2 linked regions of the Neurospora crassa OR74A genome follow. Each later gene encodes a partner of the first gene's protein in a complex. Links are inferred from orthologs where the notes say so. Each region holds a gene or a part of one and is shown in the gene's direction. Other genes may lie near its edges.

Region 1 (9,401 bases):
TCGAGTCGGTTGACGGGATCGCATTCAAAGCCTGGTTGGTCGAGGAGCATGTCGATTATCTCGTAGTTGCCACGGAGCGCGGCTTCGTGGTAGAGGTGGTTGCCCATCACGGTGGTCGTGTTGTTCAAGAGGGAGGAGATTTCTTCGTCGGATTTGTCGGCGAGAATTTCCGAGAGGAGGTCAGTGTTGTTACGCCGGCAAGCTTCAATGAGCTGCTCGGAGATGGAGGCACCCTGTATTTTGGGGGGTGAAAGAAGGAAGGGTTAGCTGGGGTTGTCTGTAGTATAGCTGTTTGCGCGAGAGGGCGTAGGGCGGGTGAAACGGGGGATAGAAGAGAGAGGGTGTTAGTTGGGGGTAGAGGACGCTTGTGTGGTACGAACCTCGTGTTCTTCGTCCTTTCCGGCCATGGTTACTGGTAGGTCACTTGTGGTTGTCTCGGAAACGGCGGGTGATGTTTCTTGGTTGTAGGAAGAAGCACAAGTAGCGAAAACGACGGTGAAAGCGAAGAGGGATGACGGCGAGAGTTGTCCAAAGTAGAGAGGTAAGATTGGCCTGGAATTGCTAATTACGAGCGGGAATCGTGGAAATGGGTCGGCGGGGGAGAGTGGATGTACGGTATGGAAGTGGCCAGGCTGTCGAATCAGGTAATCGGTCGATTCCTATAAAAGGATCGGGATCGCGTAACGCTCAATGAGGGATCTTCGGGGTAATAAGAGGGCGGCGAACGACTGTTTGTAGGGTACAGTGTACTGTATTCTATGAGATATCTCCAGTCGTGGTGGTGGTGGTGGTTGTATGAAGGACGGGATGGAAGCATTCCGTACCTCTACCTAACGGGCTGGTTAGGAGGTGGCAGTGGCAGTGTCGTCTTCCCTTGGTGTTACAGAATGGTCGGCTCCTTGCGGGGCCCGATCAGGACGCTGGCATTCAGATGGCATGCGCTGAGGCCCAGCTGCATGTCAGTGAGTAGGTACGTACCTACCTTAGCACAGGCACAACAGAAAGGGCCGTTGGGTCCAGGCACCGCTGACCAAGTGTGGGACAGTTGATGATGCAGATCTGACCAATGAAAATTCAAGCGCTACATTTAAGGTTTATAGAATTAACGGACCGCATCGAGCTATAACACTTTTTTTCAGGCCATCGCCCCTACACTGACTATTTACACTCTAACAACTTATATCACTACCTTAAAGCCCAGCAAGTGGTAGACATAAACACCGGTCTTGGCCAGCTGTTTTCACAAAAGGTACCAGCTTACGGCGACGCCTCTTCTCATCAGGATCGTCAACAAGACTTTTGGCAACCGCTCGACTCATCTCACTTGCTATTCATAACGGACGATAACACACAACAAACAAATCCAGTCCCTTCATCAATAGCAAACATGCCTATCGTCTGTAAGTCCAAGTCCACCCACAAAGGCTAGGACACCGGAACTAAACGCCCACCACAGTTTGCCCATTCTGCGCCAACCTCCTCATCCTCTCCCGAGCGGACACGGGTGGCAACAGGCTCGAGTGCAGAACCTGTCCTTACGAACACCCCATCGACAAGCCCATCTACTCCCGCAAGAACTTCCCGCGCAAGGAGAAGGAAGACGTGTTTGGTGGTCCAGGCGCTTGGGACAATGCACAAAAAGGCAAGGTCCAGTGTGACAGCGGAACTTGCAATGGCAACGAGGCAGCCTTCTTCCAGGTTCAAATTCGTAGTGCTGATGAACCGATGACGACGTTCTACAAGGTAAGAAGGGGATTGCAGACTGATGGGATAAAGTAAGAAGCTAACATGTCTCGTAGTGTATGACTTGCGGGCACAGGTGGAGAGACAACAACTAGAGGAAGAAGACATGTTCAGCACAGGTCTGGTCGGATCATCAATACATGGTATTGGGGGCATTGCTTGGCGTTGGGTTTTTCTTTTGTTTTTGTGTAGTTGCATGTGAGGTATTCTTCATCAGAATCAACTTGTGCGGTACTGGCCTGCCAGAGGCTACTTCCCACTCGTTTCCATCCCTGGCATCATTCTACCCGTGCAACTTATGCCGTGCTTGGAAAACTCTCTCGATGCCAGTCGATTCCGGCCTTCATGCCCTCTAGCCTGAGACGCTCGACCAGGTCTGGGCTGATGATGTCCTGCCTGAACTTTTCCTGCTGCAGCAACTCCAGGTTCTTCAAGGTAGGCCCAGGGTAGGTGATATACTTGAGGTAAGGTGGGCGGCTCCAGTACTGGAGATAGTCGAGGTAGGCGATGAAAGCAGGATTGCTGAGTAGCTTCCTGGACGCAAGATGGTTCAGGTACAGCGGGTTGCCAAGTGCTTGAACAAACTGAGTGTTCTGTTAATACCACGCACGCTGGATGATAATGTGTATGAAGCCTACCTCCAGTTCGAGTTCGAACCGTGTATATCCTCCATACTTGGGCTCGTCTGCCCCTGATCCCGGAGGCGCAGGTGGCTCCCTTGCTGAACTGTTTACTGACATGGGATCGGATGCCATGACGTAAAAAATGAGTGTTTGTTACAGTGTTCCAATCTGTGAATGAGCTGGATACCTAGGAACGTGTCTAGATGTTTGCGCCTCTTTGTCAAGTGAATGCGATGGGCAGTACAAGTAGACGTGAGCAGTGGCTGCTCTTAAATGGTCGTTTGTGTTGGACGAAAGCCTCAACGGCCCGTGAGTGCCCGGAAGGAAGGCGAGACTGTTTTGTTCCACCAACAATTCCTCGAGGGCGGCCCGGATGTGGCAAATTAGTGGGGCAAGCAAGCGGAGATGGCTCTGTCCCTGCAGAAAAATCAGCGTGTAACCGCTATAAATACTCAGATCAGCCCTGTAACTTGCTTCTGCAGTGACAGTCAACCCGACAACAACCTGGAACCTAATTGTGGAACCCAAGGCCGCTTCCGTTGTTCCCTTCCAGGGCAGGTTGGACACGCAGCTTTATCTCAACACCAACCCAACATCCCACGTTGACGGCATTATCCACGTTGACGGAATTATCTCATCTTTCTCACTGCTACAAAAAGCATTCGATACTCGGTGTTCATATCTCATTCATAACGACAGATTACGGCAAATAGAAACGCATGAGTATCGCGAGTTGACTAGGATATCACCATGGCTTCTCCTGAAGCTTCGGCCGTCAACGCGACAGGTACTATCCTTCCATCTCCGGTTCCAGATGCCACACCATACACTTTTCATTGGGAGATGCTCCTTAGGCCAGAAGTTCTTTGGTTTGATGCTCAGGTTATCTTCGGCGCCTTGGCTGTAATATGGCTTGGTGCTCATGGCTCCCTCCGCCGACCTCCCTCCGCTGCCCCACCAGAGTCCGAAGACAAGGACGAGAAGAAGAAGAAGTCAAAGGAAGACGAGCAGTTCACGGAAGGACTGACTGCCTCTGATGCCATCATGTTTCCCATTCTGGCCGGCGCAGTTCTCATTGGGCTCTACTATCTGCTAGAGTGGCTTAAGGATCCCAACCTGTTGAACAAGATACTGCGAGGTTACATGTCTTTCGCTGGCATTGCCGGCCTCGGCAAGCTGTCCGGGGACGCCTTAGAGATTCTCACCAGCTTGATTTTCCCAAGTGTATGGTCAGATCGCAGCAACAGACTCTACTACGTCGATCCGAAACGCCGCTCTCAGGTACTAGTTGACCCAACGACGAACCAGGCCATGATCACCGACAAGAAGTCGCCTTTCCCCGGTGTGTTTTCCATGGTTCGCCTGCCTCCTGGAATCAACAGACTTGCCTGGGAGATTCGGCACCTCTTTACGGAGAAGTGGACAGTCCGCCTTGCTGCCCATGGCGTCGGCTCTTTCAAGTCGCAGATCAAGTTCAACCATCTACTTGGATTCTTGGTCTCAATCGCGATAACTACTGCATATCACCTTGTTCAGTGGCATGTCCTTTCCAACATTCTTGGGGCTGCCATGTGCTACGCTGCTTTTGGCATGCTCTCGCCCACGTCTTTCGGTATAGGTACCGCTGTTCTTTGGGGTCTCTTCTTCTATGACATCGTCATGGTGTTTTACACGTATGTTTCCACCCATCTTTCAGCCAGGACAGCTATCCAGTTACTAATCCATTTTCTACAGTCCGTTCATGATCACCGTTGCTAAAAAGGTTGACGCCCCAATCAAGCTGGTATTCAAGAGTTCGTCCGGCTTCAGCATGCTGGGACTCGGAGACATTGTTGTTCCTGGCTTGGTCATGGCACTCGCCCTTCGCTTCGACTTGTACATGTTTTACAAGAGACAAATCCAATATCAGCCAGTTGATGCGTCTTCCAAGCAGGCCTCATCTACGGATCAAGCAGCTAGTTCTACGAACGAAATGCAGTTCCGACGAACCAAAGCACCATTCGTGGAATCAGAAGGTCAATGGGGCAACCGCTTCTGGACCACCAAGCTGGGCAACCTGATGCCAAACCCAGCATGTGGCGCGGTCGGAGCTGCAACTGCTTTTCCCAAGCCCTACTTTTACGCTTCGGTAGCAGGTTATGCCTTGGGCATGGTTTTCACCTTGACGATGCTCCAGGTGTTCAACCACGGACAGCCCGCGCTGTTGTACCTGGTCCCTTGCGTTACCGGGTCCGTCTGGCTGACCGGTCTGATTCGCAGGGAACTCAAGGATGTGTGGGGCTATACCGAGGACGGGAGTTTGGACACAAAGGACGTCGTTGTTACGTTGGACGCCGATGGAGATGAGGTCAGGAAGCCAGCGAGAGACAAGGATAATAAAGAGGCGAAGGATGGTGATAAGGGTCAGAAGGAGGCAGAGAAGGAGGAAGAGGAGACATCCCAGGAGTACGATGTCGTGCTATTCTCTATCAAGGCTCCCAGGCCCAAGCCTCCAAAGACGGATTAGTCATTTAAGGTAGCCAGGTCTTTGAATCGGGCATGATGCTATTGGGATAGAGAGCGTATGGAGTTTGGGTTCGAAGAATACATAGAAGGTAGAAGTGCATGCCACTCAGCGTCATCATAATATATCCGGGAAAAAAGAAAAAGACACAATGACCCTGCCACACTTGGACACTCGCCGGGCGTTCATGCTGCGTCTCAAAACTGGACTCACTGAAACATATACATTGACAAAAACAAGAAGAAAAAGAAGAAAAAAAAAAAAAAAAAAAAAAAAGACCATGTCACCATTTGAACCCCGCGACCTCTGTCTTCTTTTCCCATCTGCTCCCTCAGCTTCGATGAGGATATGAAATTATACCCTAAAAAGAAAGCCCAACAACCGCGCACTTAAGCAGCACACATTTGTTAACCGGCTCAACGCTGTCCCTGCCATCTATTCTCTGTACTTGTCATTAACTTTCAAGTGGACGCGGCCTGACGATGTGGAGCCTTTTTGAGTTACTTGAATGTACATCATTGTTCCCGAACCAACAGGTGAGTGAGTATTTTGGGGCCAGGGAGGTTTGAGTTTTTACAACGGTAGACCGTTGCGCTAGCTGACCCAGCGGTGGCGGCAATCGTAGTTGCTGATTACCTAAGGAGCTTATATGTTCGTTTGTTAGAGGATCAACTTGGGAAGGAGCGGGAGGTTCATAAGTAGGTACTTCTAAGTACGGGGGCCTGATGGGACGGGATGGAATGTTAATGTTTGCTGTAGTGGTTATCCTTACTGTCAGTCAGTGTTGCACCTATAGGAAAAGATCCTTTTGGATGGGTATTTTAAGAATTCTCCATGTGAGAGACGGGAATTGATGATAGTGGTATATTTGTAAACTGTAACGGCGTTGTGTCCATAAGCTAAATGACTGTCCGTACCTACCGATTCCTTATGTACAACTCCAAAGGATATCATACTTGCTGTCTGCTGTTTATCCCCCTCTGACCTGATCAACACCAGACACCATCCTACCAGATCTTGTATCTCTCTACATAAGGAACGAACGGAGTTCAAACACCCACTCTCCAGCAACAGCAACAACAGCATTTACACATACGACCATAGGCACTTGGAGAACTCGGGATCCCGTCTGATCTCCCATTGATAAGCCAGTGACCGCCAGACTAGTAGTCGGATCGGTGACGACCGGCGAATAACCTGGTGTTGTATGTCTTTGTCTTTTTTTGTTCCTTCTCTTTTTGGTCCTCTACCTTTGACTCCTTCTCTTGGAGGAAAGTGGGATGTGCGTCGAAGGAATGAGAAATGGGTACTAGCCATGGAACAAAAACAGCTGGATGTCTTTCTGTGGATCAAGTTCAAAAACATGTTCTCGCCAGCTGCATTAAGTGTCTATTCTGACGAACTGTGAATGAGAATCCGTTGTGCCCCACACAAAGACTATAACGCCGTCACCTCTCAGGCCCTCCCACATTTCCTTCCTAGATCACATGGGGGCGATGATGGTAGTGTTTACAGATGAATTATAAGATCAAATTTACCCTCCCTTAAGAGATCAAAGAACAGGTAGCTGGGTAGGCGTCAGAGGACACTGTTACCTAGGTACGTAGTGCTTTAAAAGGCAAATAGAACGGTATGCAGTACGTATGAAAACGTAGTATATTTGGAGAGATCTTGATGAGTGATGTATTAAAGTTCTTACTTCACTCTGGGGTTCCCCCTTCCTTATATATATTTTAGGCCAATCATTAGTCCAGTGACAAGCCGTTGATACCATTACAATTACCATTTTCCGCTCGTTTTAATGGTACTTTTGTTTGGTCAAATATGTCAGACGTGGAGGCTGGAAGCCGGATCCGAAATATGTAGTCTTTTTCTCAGCTTCTTTCTTCAGTACTACCCCATATAATTGTCATACAAACGAAACCGTTTGACGGCTGGAGACGTCTGGTTTTTTCCTTGCAAGATTGTACATATGACTTCGTACGACTGGTGTTTGAGATCAGAACTCGATCACAAAGGTCGAGAATACCGCTGAGGGTATTGTAAGAAGGAAAGTGTGTGTGTCGCTTGAATGTGGGAATTGATGATTCGAAATAAGAGACCAGAGCAAGAAGCGTACGCCTGGTCAATGACCAAATAAAGTGTATACGAGCCTTGTCTGATCTACAGAGCCCACATACCAATGGAGTGGATGGTTTTCCCATATACTTTATGTGGTAATGGTCAGCATGTGCGAACGCCTCTTATCGTAGCTCTCTTTTGGACCCCGGAATCCATCATGTTGAAGCGTAGAAAGATTTTGGAAAGAAACCCCATCTAGAACGCCACGATTCCATTCGAGGTACTGTCCAGACTGGGACTATTGAATACTTCACTGTCGTCATTCGAGCGTCGTGCATTTGGTCAGAAGCGAACCGATAGCGTTGTTCTGTCGATAGTCTATCCCGGAAAACTGAACGCCGAGCCATCAGGAGGATAGTGGCCTCATTCGGTCGTTAAAATTGTAGAACTAGTACGAGAGCTGAAGGAAGAAAGAGGCTGTGTGATGTGTGCGATTACTTCGGGCTCGGGGGCTCCGTATGGTCCGTTTGGAGTCCACTGCATGGTAGACCTCGGAGGCCGCTGATAGTATCTATATCGAGATGGATTGACCGGTCCAGCGATACCTGGGAGATGACTAAAAGGAAGGAGGCCAGCGGATCAAAATAGACCGAGGCAAAGCTTATAATTGGTTACCTACCTTAGAACAATGTCGTTCAGATAACCGTCCAGTCTTTGCGGTTGGAGAGAGCATCAGGCATCGAGTGACTCGTCAAGGAAATAGATGCTGACTAGCTTCCCATCCCAGGGATGATATATCAACTTCGCTTTTTCGTTTTCCAGCAGCTTAATATATACAATGATGCCAGGCCAGCCATACCTTTCATCATAAGCCGGGGGGAAATAACAACAATGTGGGCGCAAAAACAAGCAAAGGAATCAAATCCAGTTTTCAACATGCCCAGCTAAACTCCGTATGAACCGCAATATACCAAGGTGAAAGACAAAAACTGTATGTAAGGAGAACGTTGACCAAGCATGACCCAAAAATTCGCTGGATTGTAAAAACCTTTCGGTGGAAAATGTGCGACAAGTGTTACGCACGGCAGACAACTTTGGATCTCATCAGATCCAACAACGTTTACTCATTTACATGGTGGGAATACCCTCGTACTCAGCGTAGCCAAGGGCAAGGTTCATGTTCTCTGTTAATGTGGTTAGCAGAGGCACTCTGCGAGACTGGAGAGTATAGAAAACTTACGCAGGCACTGGGTAGCGGCACCCTTGAGGAGGTTGTCAATGGTAGCGCAGATGACGACGCGGCGGCCGGACTTGTCAACCTCGAAACCACCAATTTCAACACCGTGCTTACCACCAATGTTCTTAACGGAAGGAGCCTCGCCAACAACCTTGACGAGCTTCTCGCCGGCATAGCGGTCCTGGTACAGCTGACGGATGTCGCGGGAAGTCATGCTCTTGTTGAGGGGAATGGAGATGGTGTGGTGGATACCGCGGAACCAGACAGCGACATGGGGCATGAAGGCAATCTCGGCACCGAGCTGGGAGCTAACCTCACGCTCGTGGATGTGGCCAGTCAAGCTGTAGGGGATGATGTTGTTGGTGAGATTCTCGACATCGTTCTTGGGAGAAGGCTTGGTGCCAGCACCAGAGTAGCCAGAGACACCGAAGACGTGGGGCATACCACCGAGGTGAGGAACCAAGGGAGAAATACCGAGCTGGGCGGCAGTAGCGTAGCAGCCGGGGTTGGCAATCTGAGTAGCCTGGATGATGTTGCTGCGCTGGACAAGCTCAGGGAGACCGTAGGTCCACTTGTTGTCAAAGCGGTAATCAGCAGAAAGATCGATAATAACGCTCTTGTGGCCGGAAGCCTTGCGACCCTCCCAGACGGCCTCAACGAAGGGCTTGCAGACACCGTTGGGCAGAGCCATAACCCAGCAGTCAATCTCGCCACGCTTCTCCATATCACGGACATCCTCAGGGCTGAGGTTCTCATAGATAACCTCCTGCTTGTTGTAGCCTTCGAGTTTCTTGCCAGCAAGCTCACGAGAGGAGACATGGTGAAGCTCCATGTTGGGATGAGAGTCGATGAGGCGGATCAGCTCCTGGCCCGTGTAACCACGAGCACCGATGAGGGCAACGCGAGCGGGACGGTCCATAGAGGCATTTTGCTTGCCGACAGGGGGGTTGGGGTTGGTCTGGGTTAGGTAGCCCCTGCGGTTAGAGATGCTGAACTTGGGAAGGGCAGGGCGGCGAGCAAGAGTGGAGTAGCCGCGAACCTGCTGGGCAGCGGGCTTGCTGGCAGCCTGACGAAGACGAGACTCGAGGTTGGAGTTACCAAGCATGGCGCGGCCGTTCTCGGTGAAATCCTTCATGAGCTTGACAATCTCATCGCCGTTCTCAATGCCATACCAGAACATGACATCACCCTGGCGGGTGATGCTACCGTCGGCCTTGTCAAAGAACCAGCCGAG
Region 2 (10,051 bases), on another chromosome or scaffold:
GGACGACCCTGACTTTGACACCACAAGCATCATCTCCACAACCGAGAGCACATCACTATCAGACTTGGACGCCTGGGAGTCCGACAGCGACAACAACCATCTCCAAGACGGCCAACGAACACCCACTCAATCGTCCCCTTACCCAAACAACAATAGTAACCAAAACCCGCTCCATCAATCCTGGGCCTTCTCCCGGGAATCCACTCCCTCGCAAGTAGCAGACCTCCCTCTAGCAGCCTCCGACCTCGCCCGCCTCCTCAACCCGCAGAGCCCGGAAGAGCGCGAGGAAGCCATCACCCTCGCCGCCCACTTGTCCTTTGAAGAAGGCATCATGACCCGCTCCCGCTTCCGCCAGCACCAGGCGCGCCAGCGCGTCAAGGTGCTACTCTCTGGCGCCCAGCACCGTAGTCTTTACGGATATGGAAGGGGGCAAAGCACACAAATGATGACGCCCGAGGAAGAGGCTAGACGGTTGGAACAGATATTGTTGTCGAGGCGGGCGACTGCTGCGCCCACGGAGGCAGGGGAGGAGGGCAGCGGAAGTGGAAGTGGAAGTAATGGGGCGGCAGCGGCAACGGCAGGCGACTGGGCAACGGGCGCGGATGGACTGGGCAGTGAAGGACCGCAGTGCGTGGTCTGTCAGTGCGCGCCGAGAACGATCATCGTGTGGCCGTGTCGGTGTCTGAGTCTCTGCGATGAGTGCAGGGTGAGTTTGGCCATGAATAATTTTGATAAGTGCGTGTGTTGTCGGAGGGAGGTTATTAGTTTTAGCAGGATTTATGTGCCTTGATACTTTGGGCTATGGACTTTATTGGGAAGAGGAAGGTATTTTTCGTATTTCTAAATGGCTTTACACTACACACCTAGTCTAGTTGGTAATGATGAAGGGAATGAGAGGCATGTCTTAAAGAAGAAAGCATCATAAGATGGAAGTTGCGTGTCAAATAGCATGATGAATGGCCATCGAGGTTAGTGTCACGTTGTGAGGCATGTACAGGGGCAAATGGGAAGCGATTGAAAGGGTGTTTTGATGGTTCTTGGTCTGATCTTGGCTGCCTTGGTGTGGATTGTTCCCATGGATTTCCCATGGGATCTCGACGGACTACATATACGCAACAATATATTCATCATTCAACAGGCTTAGATCCGATGATAATACAGAACGTGAAGGCTTGTTGTAATGGGTATCATCTCTTCCGTCAAATGCTCAAGCTGCCTGAAACTACATGCCCGCCCACTCAATGCAGAACGCCCTCAACTCGCCAGCTTCACTGTCCTCTGTCGCCGGTTTCTGCCCTCCCATGAGGAAACTCTTCTTGACAGCCGTTCCCAAACGACCACTGGTGACGAGATCCAACATGGGGATCTTCTCATCCCACCCATAGCTGTTCGCCATATAATGAGCATGATAGCGGAAGGGGTCGCCGGGGTAGACGCTAAAGTCACCACCGAAGCGCAGACCTGGAGTGATGAAGTATCCTCTCTCGTTCAAGTACGAATACAATGGTAGCGCAGTGTGGTTTTCTACATCAGGATTACTTGTCCCGTTAGAAATCATGGCATTGCTGGTGGTTGGAGTGATTGCAGGTAGCTTCTCCTTGACCAGCGGCTTCTGAGGAGGCGTCGACGCGTCCGTTTTGAGTGGCTTGGATGATGACGACTCCAAGAGGAATTCTGCTCCTCCTTCTTCTTCCTGATCTACGGCGGCCGCAACGCCATCGGCAGATGATGCTGACAGCGGCAGTTCAGTGGGTACGACAACAGAGGGCTGTGGCTGTTTCGGCTTGCGCTTGTCCTTGTGCTTAGCCATAGACTGTGCCTTGGCCTCATTGAACACAAGCTGGGCAGTTCTGCGCTGCGTCTTGATAGACTGCAGGTATGATTTGCGCGTCTCGTCATCCATTGACTTCAACTGGGTCAAGTGTTCTAAAGGGTCATCGGCAATGTAGGCAACCTTTCTGTCCAAAAGCATCTTGGCATCCTCGGCATACAGCTCGAGCGGCAATCCTAGGAAGACATTCTGAGTGGGATTCTGCGGCATGGTGCCCGTGAAAACAGCGCAGATGCCATGCTGGCGACGGATATACGCCACATCATCAATATCAAAGACGAGGTACCGACCAGCGATCTTGGAGATCCGTACTTGTCTGTCGTCCTCGGTTGATGACATTGTAAGTGTGTGAAAACAATGAAGTGCCTAATTTTCTCTTGGTTAGAAACAGTTCTTAAACCGAGCTTGCGTCGTGTGTGAACAGGAGAGATAGATTGGCCAAAGGATCAGAAGCCTTGGACAGCCGTATTTATCATCACTATGAATCAGGGGATTGACAGATTGATACGTTTGTTGTTTCATCATGAAATGACCAACTGGGAAGTGTGCAAAAAGAGCTGTTTTGACTTACCAAAAATGCTGTTGTTGGACACGACGACACGAGGAGAGAAAGTGGGAAACTTCTGGGCGGAGGTGCGTGGGCTTTTATCGCGCCGTGGCAGAAAACGGCGGAAATTTGGGCGGTGAGTCCACGACCCCACACATTTTCCTTGAGCTCCACCCCAGGTGTTGCTGTACGCCCGTAGGTAGCTCCAGGCGGGCGTCCACCAATGGTTTCAGTGGCTCGAGTGGACTTACAGCGTGCCCAATACCTGGGCAAGTAAAGAGACGGGAGTTTCAATGATGATCAAGAAGCTCACCTGAACATATGATGAGACTGCCAAAAGGGGGCCAAAAAAAGTCGGTTATTTGCAAAAAAACAAGCCGTTAAATTGCCAAGCGGAAGATGACTTTAGAAATCAAGCCCATCCTTCTTTGGAGCAGCTGAGGGCTTCTCCTGCTCATCCTCGAGCATAGGCGGGAGACTGTACGGTTTGATCACCAAGCCCTTGGATGCGCTCAAGCTGAATGACAGGTTCTCACGGAATTGGCCCGACTCTGCTCCTCCACCACCCTTCTCATGATACACAGGCAGTGTGTATACTTTGAACATACCCTGGGGTTGCTCGTTTGCCTTGGGATCCGACCTTGAGGGCGGCGGTGGCGCGGCACCTAGCCTGGCAGGCAAGGGGATGAGCTCGACGACGCCGTCACAAAGAATTTCTATCCACCGGACCAGGCCTGAACTGCGAGGGAATAAGGACGTCGGGAAGGTAATGATTGCTGTGAGCTGGGTGCTGTACAGTCGAAGGAGAGCCCGGAGCCCATGTAGAAACTGTAGAACCTCTGATGGTTGGGCGCATCCAGGAGGATAGAGGGTTGGTGAGAGGAGACTGGGCACCACCAGTCTATGAATGGCGTTTGATCCTGAGCTCTCCAACTTGGCCCGCAATTGCTTGAGAAGCATCTTCAGAGGAGAAGCTGTCCCAACACTTTTCCGGTCTAAGCTCGGGGAACCGCCAACTGAAATCGGGTTCAGAGTACCCTTGGACTCGGAGCTGGCAAGCCTCTTGCTGAGATCAAAGGAGTGACAGAAAGGCGCTCCAGAATCCCCACGAGCAGAAGCTCCTGCATTGGCGTTGTTACCCAAGGACTCATATCTCCACGCAATCTTCATCTTCTCTTCGGGTGCCGGCGCCGGTGATGCACTCTTTGACTTCTTGTCAGGTGAAGCCAGCCCTGGAAGCTGATGCCTCCATTCTGGCGGAAAGGCTACTGCGTGAACCTGATGCCCTTGGACGAGACCCTCGGCAGCATAGTACCGTAGAAGAATTCCAGAGAAGTCGGTGGTCCCTTGCTCCTCAACCAGTAAGCATGTTCCTAAGGGGAGTCCACCGTGTCCTGCAAGAAGTTGGTCCAGGGAAGCAGTGCCAGTTGAAGTGGTCAACCTGCCATCAGTTGGTGATGGTCGAAGACCCGGCGCAAGCTGCGTTTCCTGTTTGGGTTGCTGCTGCTGGGGAGCGGACGGCGTGAGTCCGGCTCTCGGTGAGGATAGGACGGTGTTTCTTTTGACGAAGGACATAGTTCAGTCGGCAAGTTGCAGTCCTTATTTGAGTATCGAATCCAAACTTGATGATGTTGAGGTATGTATTCTTCAAGTCCAAATATAGTCGATTCGATCCCTGGAAGAAATTCCATGGAAGCTTGGACGTCACTGGAGTGCCTGAGAGCCCCGCTGTACTTTTGTCACACACTGGACGGGCGTGACAGGGATTTTCAATGGTGGTTGCCCCACTACTTGCCCCGGCATCCTGGTCCAATTGCCGCAAGGCTGGAATTTTTTGGGACGGCAACTGCATGGCGGCATCTCCATCGCTCAGTCGCATCTCCAAAAGTTTCCCCAAACACCATCATTACTACCGCTCGCGACAATTCGTTTTACCCACCTATCGACACGCGTTTGATACTCGACCAAAATCTGACACTAGTATCCTTCCGAGCAATCAATATCCAACATCGACTGTTTCATCGATTCCACACCAGCATTCACAATGTCCGCCCTCACGTCCGACGCCCAACTCTTCGAGGACGAGTTCAAGGTCGAGAGAATCAGCGATCCCAAGTACGACCGCGTCGACCGTCTGTACTGCACCTCCGTCGATGGCCAGACCAGCATGCAGCTCGATGTCAACAAGGAGCTCTTCCCTGTCAAGGTCGGCGAGTACCTTAGAATTGCATTGGCTACTTCCTTGTCCCTCGACGGTAGCAAGGACGACGAGAGGGGTTGGCGCGATGCTGCCAAGCTCGGTAGCGTTGAGCAGACCCTGGCCGACAGCTATGAGTATGTCTGCCATGGCAAGGTCTACAAGTTTGAGGATGGAAAGGATGGCCAGACCATGTAAGTTGTTGCCTGGGAATTGGGCAGGAGTATCTCGACCTTGGAATTCGGGGAAAATGAGTGGCTGACTGGTTCGGTTGCGAAATTTAGCAAGGCGTATATGTCCTACGGTGGTCTTCTGATGGCCCTCGATGGTCCCTACAAGAAGCTCACGCCCCTGCGTGTCGACTACGTCTACCTCCTCGCCAACAGGAACGCTTGAGAGCTGAAATTTCCGGAGAATAAAAAATTGAAAAAAAGCAAATGTTTCCAGCGGCTAAATAGCATCAGACCGATCAAGAGTCTAGGGCGCGAGCAACATTCATTGGATCTTTGGAGGGCGAACGGGCGTTTAAGGTTATGCGTGGACCAGAAAAGGCATATCCTAGGGAAAAGGGGTCTGGGGAAAGTAATGAATCAACGATACCCGGAAAGCAAGTACCTGTATTTATGCCGCTACCGAGCCAAGGGCTGTCCATCTGCCTTTGGAAGAGCTAGTGCCCTGCGGAAGGTGCTCGATGGATTCAGGCCTGATGAGGACCGGGAAAGGCGATGTGTCGATGAGCCCGGTCACGAAATGCGTCGTAATGCGGCTCGTTTTCAGGCGTGTAAATGCCGTGCCGAACGAAGAAATCGAGCATGACGACGGCACAGTTCGGCTTCCACATTCCCTGGGCGAGCTGTTTCTGGATCTCCTCCACTGTGCACAAGCTGAAGCTCTCGACCTCGCCGTCTTTTGGCTCGGGGACGACACTTCCATCCGCAGGTAGCTCTAGATCATAAATCCATTGGCATTCCGGGTAGATCAACCCCGCCTCGCCTCCCGCGCGCTCGTCCGTGATGTAGATATAAGTGATGGTGCAGACCTCTTTGGCGTTGTTCCTCACGATATGCTCGGACAGTGAAGCCTCTTCGTCCGCCTCACGGATGACGCATTCGAAGGGGTCTTCGTTGGTCATCAAGCCACCCGCTACCGCGTTGTCCAACATGCTCGGATAGGTCGATTTGGTCGCGGACCGCTTGGGAACCCAGATTCTCAAGTCATACTTGCTGCTGGCATCCTGACGTCTGATGAAGGCGTTCATATGCACGCCGTAGCGTGTGGTTCCAAAGAGGCCCATAGCTGCCCGCTCTATGCTGAACACGAGCTCCTTGTTGCGACCATAAACTGGCCACAGCTCGTTTCGCCAGCTCTTGAGGATGGCAAATGCCTCTTGTTCACGCCAAAGCGCAGTGAGCTTTCCGACAAGCCGAGTGCGTTCCTCGTAGGTTTTGTCCGGGGCATCACGGAAGAGCACTACAGTCCTATTAGAGACATCGATGTGCAACCCTAACTGTCCTTTGAGAGTTGCCGGGGCTTTGTTGAGTGCATCGACAACGTCCAGCTTCACGTAGCCTATGGGTACCTGACCCTGCTGGTCTTCCCAGACGAACGTGTAGAAAGACTTCATGATCTGGGCATAAGCCTCGGGATCCCGGTCCGCGTAAGGGAAGCTTGATTTTTAGAGATAATGTAAGCGCTCGTTCTGGTCATGTTCGGAATCCAGGTAGGCCTTAGATCCGTTCACTGAAGTTCCATCTAAGTTCCTGGGCGTGAACACAGAGGATTCGGTTTCACAGAAAAAAAATAAACAAATAAATACGTACGCATCGACTTTAGCCACCAAGTCGAGGGTGGACAACCGAGGAGTCATGGTTTGGCAACGGGTTCCCGAGACCTTGGATAATAGGGCGTGGTCACACGGGATCGAGTAATGCAAATGAAGCCGAAAGTCTGGATTTGTTGACTTGAGCTTGAGAGGCACAAGTGAGAGGATGTTGTCAAGGGAAGAGAGCGTGGGGAAGCAGATATTGGCGTGCGCTAATCTCCTGTCGTTCGGGAGCGCAATTGAAGACCGTCGGGAATTGGGAGGGGAGGAACATGAAGCATCTCAAATTAGGGAGACAGCATCAACAGGGCAATTCTTCACTTTCAATATATTTGAATCAATGGAACGAATTCGTGTTTGAGGTTACAAGCGCAAGTGAATTAATTGATCTCATATCGTCTTTCCTTCAGATAGTTCAGATGACGAGACTCGGGACAGAACTTATGGAAGGATAGAAATCCAAAAAGCCCCTGTCGCGTGTTGAGGCGCTTTGTAGCGGGGAAAGAGCAGTTTACCACAGGGGGTCACAATGGGGCAACGAACAATCCTCATTGAAAGTGGAAGTTACAGACAAGGACTTGGCCTTTCCATCCATGTCATTGGATCCCAGAATGGAGATTGTATCGTGGAAATGGAGGGTCTATCTACTGAAGCTTCAAATTTTTGCAAGTCGAGGACTCTAGAATCATCTCTATGTTGGTTCCAAGACCCAGTGATTTTCTGAACTGCCCGGCTGCCCTGCCGTCACAAGGAAGCATCCGAGACGGGAGACCCACAGTAGCTTGAGATCTCGCCATCACATCATCAGCTTCAATAAGAGTGTAGAAACAAATATATACCAGACAACTCTTCGGGGGAAACTATCAAGTATAATTGACAGCTATTCTTTTCAATGAGGAAAACCGTGAAATCCCTTTCCCTCTCTATAGCCAGTGACGGTTGTGCGCAAAGAATACCTACCTTGCTGCCAGCTCATTGTTTGACCCCACATATTACGGCATTATAAACGCTTCGGCCGCTCCACGTCCGGAAAACAACTGAGATTCGAGGACAAAGCGGCATCTTCGAGGAAACAACAAACGGAATCGGTCATTCACCCCGAGTCCAGGTCTTTGTTTACATAGAGTTGACATTAACAGCTTCACACGCTACGACCGCGAGTTCGAATTCGTGGTCTTTTGTCTTCCAAAACCGAAGCTCACCCCACGATCTTGCGAACACAACTATACATCTTGAAGGACCTCAGCCATAGATATCCTATCTCATCCGTTCGATATATCTATCAGAGGCAAAAACCAGCACAAGCTCCAACCAGAACGGGACACCGAATCAACTCCCCATACCGACAGCCGTGAGCTCTGTCAATTTCATCATCATCAACCACACCCGAGCAGTGCCCAACAGCAACAGGCGATCAACACCGCCACCAAACCCATTCTCTTATCACACCACATTATCACCAAACCACAAATCCAACAAAAATGTCCCAACCCCTCTTCGGCCTCATTCCCGCCGGTCAGCCCGTAATAATCTCCCCCACCGAAGCTCCCAGTCCCACCTCCTTCCTGTACGCCATCCCACCGACCAACCCGAACTCTCCCCCCGGTTCCGCCATCTCCAAGCCCTTCGGGCACGTCGTCGTCTTTCTTTTGCCTGGCGTAGTCCTCCCCCCGGGGACCGCAGCAGCAATTTACCTCGTCACTCCGCCCTCACCAGGGCAGACGGCGCCCAACTTCAAGTTTTTGGGTGGGATCGGCCCGGGGAAGGAGAGTGCTATCTTCAAGGTTGGACCTGGTGCAGGAGGGACAGGGGGTGGGAACGAGAATGTGGTGATTGGGGTCTCGGTTGAGGATGCGGAGAGTGTGGCCAGTAGGATGTCTGCGACGGGGACAACAACACCAGGAGCAGCAGCAGCAGCAGCAACAACAAGTGGTAATGGGACAGAAGGGGCGTTGGTGCCGGTTTCGGCAGCGCGGCAGCAGCCGAGCACGCTGGTGCTGGCGCAGAGGATCATCAAGAATGCCTTCAACTTCTTGTCGAGCTATACCGGGTCCACGCCGGGGCAGATGGAGGTGGTGCCGCTTAAGGCGTTTGAGGAGTGGTGGAAGAAGTTTGAGAGTAAGGTGAGGACAGACCCGGGGTTTTTGGAAAGGGATGATGATCAATGATCAGTAAGCATATGGGGACAAAGGAATGGTGACTCAGAAGAAAGCGTTCTATACATATGTGACGAGGGCTGAATTCGTGGGAGAGGCTCCCGGATGGGCATAGTTGGAAGAAAGCCTTCTTTCCTCCTGGCGGATGTGTACCTAGTCTTGGGCTTCGGGGACAAAAGGGGGGGTTCGTCGAAATTGGTGAAATTGGTGAAATTGTAGATGGCAAGACCATGAAATTGTCATATTAATGATGAGGTCAGGTCAACGCCATGTTTGTGTATGTGTCAGATCGTTCAGGACGCAAATATACCCAGTTAGAACAAAGGACAAGCAAAGATGGCACAGAGAGACGCTGGAAAATTTTGCGAATGAAAATGAGGTATCTTGTTCCAAAATCCTGTGATAAAGCCATACTAGCTAGCTGTTGGCAATGAAGAAGAATGAAGAATAGAAATATACTGAAAGCCCGTCGCTCAGATGGGTTTGAAGACCACCCGTATCGTTGTCATCATACAAAAATCGTTGGACGACATGGCCGCTAACCTCCTAGAAGAACAATTATCCATCATCAAGAAAGTACCATATACAGAGGTAAAAGGTAGAAATGCAAAACCCATAAAACATCCGCCAACGCCGTTTCCCATGACAAATCGTTCAATCAAGCACAAAGCGACTGGTTGTCTTTTCGTAACAAAACTTTGAGGCACATGGGCCTCGACGCCTTAACCTTGCAAAGGCGACATCAAAGGACTTTTCAGCCTCGTGGGACTACCAGCCCGGCTCCTCCTCCCCTGCAAACTCATAGTCGTCGTTGTAGGCGTCAACCCCAGCCGCTCTCGACTATCCGTCCTGACCACTAAGCCCGCCCTATCGAGCGCCGAGCCGCCAGGCGTCATTAGTCCGTTGCCGCAGCCGAGATCAGCAAACCGGCCATCCAGGTTCAGCTTGGGCGTTGCCAGCCCCGACGTAATCCCAAGCTTAGACCGTCCCCCTCCGCTGGAGCTGCTGTCGCTGGAATCAGAGTAGAAGCCGTTGAGGTCGTTGTTGTGGTCAAAGTAGGAAGATGCTGAGTTGCGGAAGTGGGAATCGTTTAGCTCGAACTCGGCGGCTTCGCCTTCCTCCAGAACGCGCTCATAAGAGCCCGAAGAAAGGGAGCGACGGCCGAAGAGCTTGTTTGTCAGGCTGGAGAGGGGGCCGTTGTTGTGGCCGGACGATGCCATCTTGCCGAACAGGCCGGAACGGCGGGGCTTATGGAAGAGGTTGTTGACACGGCCATAGAACCGCATACGCCTATCCTTCTTGCGGAAAAAGAACAGCAGCGCGAGGAAGATGAAGAAAACGATGAGAAGACTGTGAGTGGTCTTGGCCTTTGTCTTGCCAAGGAGATTCTCGGCTTCCAAATCCCAGTCACTGCCATCGTCTGTAGTCCCATTGACGGCCGGACGGTAGGGCGAGTCGTTGTGGCTGGCTCCGCCGCTGAGTGGTGTCCACGTCGAAC

The links.
Region 2: NCU00570 (region 1) and NCU08030 share a complex: the UniProt entries of both Saccharomyces cerevisiae proteins name them as parts of the RNA polymerase III (Pol III) complex. The link is inferred for Neurospora crassa OR74A from reciprocal best matches to the Saccharomyces cerevisiae genes RPC11 and RPB8.

The regions. Positions count from the first base shown.
Region 1 is NC_026501.1:7,970,263-7,979,663, forward strand, and holds NCU00570 (DNA-directed RNA polymerase III polypeptide), read left to right. Parts: upstream 1-1,148; 5' UTR 1,149-1,387; coding exon 1,388-1,400; intron 1,401-1,456; coding exon 1,457-1,743; exon of another isoform or gene 1,744-1,799; coding exon 1,800-1,838; 3' UTR 1,839-2,019; downstream 2,020-9,401. Other genes in the region: NCU00571 (hypothetical protein), read right to left, coding at 1-233, 381-407; NCU00569 (SOH1 family protein), read right to left, coding at 2,040-2,327, 2,382-2,498; NCU00568 (hypothetical protein), read left to right, coding at 3,117-4,039, 4,101-4,872; Arg-6 protein, variant, read right to left, coding at 8,059-8,114, 8,171-9,401. UniProt on the Saccharomyces cerevisiae protein: DNA-dependent RNA polymerase catalyzes the transcription of DNA into RNA using the four ribonucleoside triphosphates as substrates. Component of RNA polymerase III which synthesizes small RNAs, such as 5S rRNA and tRNAs.
Region 2 is NC_026504.1:3,962,422-3,972,472, reverse strand, and holds NCU08030 (UDP-glucose 4-epimerase Gal10), read left to right. Parts: upstream 1-4,261; 5' UTR 4,262-4,422; coding exon 4,423-4,769; exon of another isoform or gene 4,770-4,859; coding exon 4,860-4,971; 3' UTR 4,972-5,272; downstream 5,273-10,051. Other genes in the region: NCU08033 (hypothetical protein), read left to right, coding at 1-634, 706-726; NCU08032 (tRNA-splicing endonuclease subunit sen34), read right to left, coding at 1,223-2,170; NCU08031 (paxneb protein superfamily), read right to left, coding at 2,784-3,953; NCU08029 (thiamine pyrophosphokinase), read right to left, coding at 5,273-6,242, 6,396-6,442; NCU08028 (hypothetical protein), read left to right, coding at 7,879-8,565; NCU08027 (nucleoside diphosphatase), read right to left, coding at 9,276-10,051. UniProt on the Saccharomyces cerevisiae protein: DNA-dependent RNA polymerases catalyze the transcription. of DNA into RNA using the four ribonucleoside triphosphates as substrates.